2 linked regions of the Macaca fascicularis genome follow. The protein of the gene in region 1 interacts with the protein of each later gene in a pairwise test. Links are inferred from orthologs where the notes say so. Each region holds a gene or a part of one and is shown in the gene's direction. Other genes may lie near its edges.

Region 1 (3,537 bases):
TCCTTCTATGGGGTCTCCAGCCAGTATGAGAGCCCCGAGAACATGATTATCACCTGCTCCACCAAGGTCTGCTCTTTCGGCAAGCAGGTGGTGGAGAAAGTTGAGGTAGGAGGCCACCCTGGTGGGTGAGGGGCGCTCCCCAGAGCCATTGCTCCCCGTTCAGGATCTTCCAAGCACGTCCTTACAGGCGCCCCCGGTCCTCTCCAAGATCAGAGCCGCAGCACAGGCAGGGCCCAGGGGCATCTACCTAGTCCAGCCCTCTGGCTTCACAGTAGAGGCCCAGAGAGAGCAGAGGCCTCCCCCGACCGCCCGCACGTGGTCACACCGCTCACTAATGCAGAAGCAGGCCTGGGTGCCTAGGATCTCCATCCGCTGCTCACTTTGCTCCATGAATGCCTAAAACTCCCTGATTTTCTACTTGTGGGTGACCTGAAGACCCCGCTCTAGTGGACGTTACAGAAAAGTCAGGCCTGCCTTTTAGGCGGTGGTTTCTCCCACTCGGCTAAACCCCCGGCCAAGGGCAGTGCAGGACAGTGGTGAGGAGCACACATTCAGGGGGATCCCCACCCAGCCACCCTGCTTTCCGGTGGGTGTTTGGGGGGTTGTGATAAAATCCTCCGTTTATCTCTAAACAAGGGCCAAGTTGTCTTCACTGTCCGTGACACAGTCTCCTGCAGCACCCTGTGTTCTGGGCCCGCTGCACAGTGGCAGTGACAAGGAGCTGGGACTGAAGGCCTCCGACCCGAAACACCTGTGCACTCTGAGAGTCCAGGACCCTGTGCCGCCCACACACTTGTTAAACCAGACCCCCTCGCCATGCAGGCCGGTCTGCGTCCCTCTCCTCACCCTGTCCCCAGCTTGGTCTGAATTCATGAAGTCCTAGTCTCACAGCCTATCAGTTATTGATAACCTTCCTCATGCCAAATGCAGCCAGATGCCAGGCCAGCATCAGGGAAGAGAGATTCCTTCCCCCAGTGCTTCTCCACCTGGCTGCACCCTACAGTCTCCTGGGAGCTTTGGAAACACACCAGTGCCTGAAACCCGTTCAGCACCCCTCAATCTCTAGGGTAGAGTCCAGGCATTATTGGTTTTTAAAAAGTGCCTCCGGCCGGGCGCGGTGGCTCAAGCCTGTAATCCCAGCACTTTGGGAGGCCGAGACGGGCGGATCACAAGGTCAGGAGATCGAGACCATCCTGGCTAACATGGTGAAACCCCGTCTCTACTAAAAATACAAAAAACTAGCCGGGCGAGGTGGCGGGCGCCTGTAGTCCCAGCTACTCCGGAGGCTGAGGCAGGAGAATGGCGTGAACCCGGGAGGCGGAGCTTGCAGAGAGCTGAGATCCGGCCATTGCACTCCAGCCTGGGCGACAGAGCTAGACTCCGTCTCAAAAAAAAAAAAAAAAAAAAAAAAAAGTGCCTCCAATTATTTATTTCTAATTTATTTTGTAAAACTTTTGAGATAATTGTGGATCCACTTGGGATCATAATCCCATGTGCCCTTTACCCAGTTCTTGCCCTGGCAATGTCTTGTATAACTAAAGTATAAAGGGGACACCCAGGAAATTGACATTGATGCAGTCCACCAAGCTGGTTCAGATCTCACCAGCTTTATACGCGCTCCTTTGTGCACGTGCATGGGTGCGTGTAGATATGGAGACTTGCATGATCACCACCAGACTCCCGGGGGTCCCTGTGTATCCCCCGTGGTGTCCTCACGTACAGCCAGGATTGAGAGGCTCCTTCCCACTGCTCCTGTGTCTCCTTAAGCTCCCCTCCTGCCATCCCCGGTTCCTGCTGGTCACCCGTGGAGGAAGGAGGTCTTGTTTAATGTCCACCAACCTAACAGGGTGACTTTTTGTGTGTGTGTGTGAGACAGTCTTACTCTGTCGCCCTGGCTGGAATGCAGTGGTATGATCTCAGCTCACTGCCACCTCCGCCTCCCAGGTTCAAGCGATTCTCCTGCCTCAGCCTCCAGAGTAGCTGGGATTACCGGCGCGTGCCACCGTGCCTGGCTAATTTTTGTATTTTAATAGTAACAGGGTTTCACCATGTTGGCCAGGCTGGTCTTGAACTCCTGACCTCAGGTGATCCGCCTGTCTTGGCCTCCCAAAGTGTTGGGATTGCAGGCGTGAGCCACGGCCCCTGGCTGGGGGTGACTCTTTTCTTAAGGGCCCCTAGGCCTCCTGCCTTTCCTTCCCATGGAGTTGGGTCTGGGTCCTGGGGCTTCCCATGGAGTTGAGTCTGGGTCCTGGGGCTTCCCATGGAGTTGGGTCTGGGCCGAAGGTGGTCAGAATGGGATTCTAAGCCCCTGCTGTCCCCGGGCCCTGCAGACAGAGTATGCTCGCTATGAGAATGGACACTATTCTTACCGCATCCACCGCTCCCCGCTCTGTGAGTACATGATCAACTTCATCCACAAGCTGAAGCATCTCCCCGAGAAGTACATGATGAACAGCGTGCTGGAGAACTTCACCATCCTGCAGGTGTGCCGCGGGTGTGGCTGGAGTCTGTGTGTGGGTAGCAGCGAGGGCGTGCCCTCGTCTGGGGCCTTATTCACCCTTGTCTTTTTCTCTCCCACAGGTGGTCACCAACAGAGACACACAGGAGACCTTGCTGTGCATCGCCTATGTCTTCGAGGTGTCAGCCAGTGAGCATGGGGCTCAGCACCATATCTACAGGCTGGTGAAAGAATGAGAGACTCGGGGAGCAGGGAGGGGGGAAGAGACGTGTGTGCAGGAAACGGGGACGTGGGGAGGGGACCTGCAGGGGCAGCCCCTGAAGTGCCGAGAGAGCTGAGAGGAGCAGTTGTGACTCTACCCAGGAACAAACTGTGCCTGAACCTGCAGTGCCCAACCCCAAATAAACCCAAGATGCTGTGTCTTTTCAGAGGACCTGGTCTGGCTGTGTGAGCCTCGGGAGGGACTGGGGGAGCAATGGGGCCATCTGGGAGGCAGGCCGGAAGCAGTGCTCAGAGACGCACCCCGGGCATTTCTGAAGCCAGCATCCCAATGGACTCAGCCAGGAACATCACCAGACCCTGGAACCGAAGATGTGACGGTCCCCGTGCTGCCTCTCAAGCCCCTGCACTGTGGCGGTGGCCACGCCGGGAGGTCCGAGGAATGCATGGGCTATGCACCCGCAGCCATGTGCACCCCTGCTGCACTCGCAGGACGGTTCACACAGAGAGGCCCCGTCCCCGGGGGGGCGGGTTTTAGGTGTGGAGGTGACAGTTGTTGGACGGGGACACCGTCAGAACTCTCTGGATAGTTTCCGTCCATCTCAGTGGATGCGGATGCCATGACTATCTTCCATGACCACGCTGGGGGCGCTGGTTTCAGATCGAAGGAGACTGAGGTGGGGAGGGCAGGAGGCTGGGAGGGCAGGAGGCAGCGGGGCTGAGGAGCCTGGACTTAGATACGCAGCTGAAGGGGTTCCTGGGTTTATTTCTCCTGAGAACTGGCGTGGGCTCAGAGTTTTGCCAGTCCTGGCTTCGGTCCTAGTATTCTAAGCTGCCTGACCTTGGGCATTTGTCAACCT
Region 2 (3,651 bases), on another chromosome or scaffold:
TACATAATGTATTTTTTTTATCCCATGAAGTTCCAGAAATGATTCTCACTATATCTAAATTTAGAACTCCTGGTAATTGCAGATTCAACTTGTATTCTTTTTTTTTGAGACAGAGTCTCGCTGTGTCGCCCAGGCTGAAGCACAGTGGTACAATCTCAGCTCAATGCAACCTCTGCCTCCCGGGTTCAAGTGGTTCTCCTGCCTCAGCCTCCCAAGTAGCTGGGACCACAGGTGCATGCCACCACGCCCGGCTAACTTTTGTATTTTTAGTAGAGACGGGATTTCACCTTGTTAGCCAGGGTGGTCTCGATCTCCTGACCTCGTGATCCACCTGCTTCGGCCTCCCAAAGTGCTGGGATTACAGGCTTGAGCCACTGCCCAGCCTCAACTTTTATTCTTAGGACTTATGTTGATAAAGTTTTGTCAGATAGAAAGGAATGCAGCCATCTCATCAACTTTTATATTAAAAGTGTCTTTGTTTAGAGGTAAACTCCCACATTTATTCAGAATGATTGAAAAATGGAATATTCTAGTAAAGTTCGTGTTTTTGGATAATGAGGTTATGAGTCAAAAGATTCTTGCATTTATGGTTAATAAAGTACTAGAAATTTACCATTGACAAGGTACATTTTTTCAAACTGTGGCTCAGGGTATGTGAGTGTGCTTGAGGGATGGGGACTGGTGGGGTCCAGGCTTTTTATGCCAGATTCAATCCTTGTTGCTCCTTCTGAGGCTTTCAGGAAAACTTTGGTTGGATAATAAGGTTTCTAATGCACCCTGCCTGCCATGTTAAAAACAACTATCAGAAAGTCATTTGATTTTTCTAGGTTTATTCAGAAGGCACTTCCAAGATTTAGATGGTGAATGAAAATAACTTCTTACCAAAAAAAATCTCCATTTTTTGGTTTGCTTTTTATAGATTCCTGAATAAAATTTGTTAGTTAAGTATTCGATTATTTGCAATTTAGATGAACAGAAGTGAGCCAGAGACCCTTTCCAGCTAGAAAATTTATTTCAGTATAAGTTAACAATACAGTTGTTTTTTTTTTTAATCAATCAGTTCTCTCATGGTTTGTAACAGCACAACGAACTCTAGTAACTGAAAATTTTTATAGCCAATGACTTCACTAGGACTTGTCTAGACAGCAGTTACCCTCTAAAGTCACAGCATGTTAGGGCTGGAAGAGATCTAACAAAGATACTGTAATTTAGAAGTCCTAAATGTTCTGTTTGCCATTGTAGCCATGGTTTTACGGTTTGAGGGACAGTGAGACCAATGACTTCAGCATGGAAAGTGGGAAACTGATAGGCATAAATATGGGGAAAGGCCTAACCTTAGTTTGGGATGCAAATGTAAACATATAAAAGTATTCTCTGGAAACAGCAGCAAATTTGAAAGGAATTTGATGTCTGGTTATGTTTGTCAAAAAGGAGAGACTCCTGGAGATCATACCTAGAGAAAGTAATTGCAGTCAGTAGATTTCTAGCATTTTGGATGGACTCTCCTTGGCAATGTAATGCTAGCTTTTATAAAATAATGTTTATATTATTTGTTTTTGCTAATGAAATCCATATGCTGTGAAACAGTTACTTGTCTGTGGGATTTGGATTGGATCTACATGTTTCCCCAATCTTCAGCATTTTAGTCAACGAAGTAGTCAAATGGATTGACTTTTTTTTTTCCTTTTTTTTTCCTTTTTTTTGAGACAGCGTCTCACTCTGTCATCCAGGCTAGAGTGCAGTGGCGTGATCTCTGCTCACTTTAGTCTCAACCTCCCAGGCACGAGGCTCCTCCTACCTCAGGCTCCCAAGTAACACCAGTCCCAGCTAATTTTTGTGTTTTTTGTAGAGACAAGGTTTCACCATGTTGCCCAGGCTGGTCTCGAACTTGTGGGCTCCAGTGATCCGCCCACCTCGACCTCCCAAAGTGCTGGGATTATGGACGTGAGCCACCGCCCCTGGCCACTGATTGGCTTTTCAAAGTAAACTTTCAACTCATTGTTTTGCTTTCCTGTCTGTAAACATAAAACTTCCAGATGCAATTTAATGTAGAGCCTGTACTCTGTAATTCCACAGTTTTACTGGCCTGTAAGTGGCAAAGACCAGAATGTACCTTATAGTCCAGAGGAATCTGATTGCTTTGATTGATGTAGATTTGGTTTGAGAACCTCAGATAGAAATAGCCTTGTCTCTGAGAAGTGTTTTGAGAGGACTTTCTATGATTTGGGTGTTTAAATAATTGCATGGGTGGGATGATTGCAACAGTTAAGTGCCCTTAGGTCAAATAATAGCTGAGCTTCCCATTAACTTTGTGAATGTGAAGTGACTTATGTCTGTAAGACTTTCTTCAGAGAAAGAATACCAGTGGTTACCTGGTGATTTTGACTTGCTGGGAGTAAATACACAGTGCTTTGTATTTGGTGAAAAGTTTTTGTTTTTTTTGAGACGGAATCTCGCTCTGTCACCCAGGCTGGAGCGCAATGGTGTGATCTCGGCTCATTGCAAGTTCCGCCTCCCAGGTTCACGCCATTCTCCTGCCTCAGCCTCCCGAGTAGTTGGGACTACAGGCGCCCGCCACCTCGCCCGGCTAGTTTTTTGTATTTTTTTAGTAGAGACGGGATTTCACCGTGTTGGCCAGGATGGTCTCGATCTCCCGACCTCGTGATCTGCCCGTCTCGGCCTCCCAAAGTGCTAGGATTACAGGCTTGAGCCACTGCGCCCGGCCTGGTGAAAAGTTTTGATGTGACATACACTCTGCTCCATGCCTTGTGACAATGAGTGAATGACTCTTGCTTCCCACTCTGACTGTTGTTACTTCTGTAGGAAGCTGCCCTCTGTCGACAGCTCCCCATGGAAGCTGAGACTCTTGCTCCAGTTCAGGCTGCTGTCAACCCACCCACGATGACCCCAGACATGAGATCCATCACTAATAATAGCTCAGATCCTTTCCTCAATGGGTAAGTTAATATTTGGGGGCCACTTATTTTTGTTCTCTTTATTATGTGATCTAGACTATGATATGATCTTTGTTTACATTGGGAAGAGGTGGAGAACTTGAGGGTTGAGGGTGAGGATAAAGGGAGGAAGTGGGAGGAGCTGGCAGAAAATAGAAAGGCAGGGGAAGTCATCTACCTTTTAAAAAAATTTCCAAATTAAAAAATTAGTGATAGGACATAGAGTAAACCCCTAGTCAAGAATTTGAAAATGGGCATGAATTTATATATTTTTTAAACATGATAGTGTTGTTTAGTACTTATACTTGGAAGAATCTTGTGGTTTTATGTAACCAACAGGGGATAAAAGCATGCCATATGGCAAGTTGAGAACAGAACAATTAAGAAATGATGTTCAGCCAGGCGTGGTGGCTTATGCCTGTAATCCCAGCACTTTGGGAGGCCGAGGCAGGCGGATCACCTGAGGTCGGGTGTTCGAGACCAGTCTGACCAACATGGAGAAACCCCGTCTCTATTGAAAATACAAAATTAGCAGGGCGTGGTGGTGCATGCCTGCAATCCCAGCTACTCAGGAGGCTGAGGCAGGAGAATTGCTTGAACCCAGGAGGCGGAGGTTGCGGTGAGCCGAGATTGCACCATTGCACTCCAGCCTGGGCAACAAGAGTGAAACTCTGTCTCAAAAAAAAAAAAAAAAAAA

Evidence for each region.
Region 2: the proteins of TEAD4 (region 1) and WWTR1 interact in binary tests that used the Homo sapiens proteins (3 or more experiments, as listed by UniProt). The two-hybrid records come from large-scale screens. The link is inferred for Macaca fascicularis from reciprocal best matches to the Homo sapiens genes TEAD4 and WWTR1.

The regions. Positions count from the first base shown.
Region 1 is NC_088385.1:3,923,042-3,926,578, forward strand, and holds the end of TEAD4 (transcriptional enhancer factor TEF-3), read left to right. Parts: coding exon 1-105; intron 106-2,330; coding exon 2,331-2,483; intron 2,484-2,580; coding exon 2,581-2,694; 3' UTR 2,695-2,886; downstream 2,887-3,537. UniProt on the Homo sapiens protein: Transcription factor which plays a key role in the Hippo signaling pathway, a pathway involved in organ size control and tumor suppression by restricting proliferation and promoting apoptosis.
Region 2 is NC_088376.1:52,343,788-52,347,438, reverse strand, and holds part of WWTR1 (WW domain-containing transcription regulator protein 1), read left to right. Parts: intron 1-2,823; coding exon 2,824-2,957; intron 2,958-3,651. UniProt on the Homo sapiens protein: Transcriptional coactivator which acts as a downstream regulatory target in the Hippo signaling pathway that plays a pivotal role in organ size control and tumor suppression by restricting proliferation and promoting apoptosis.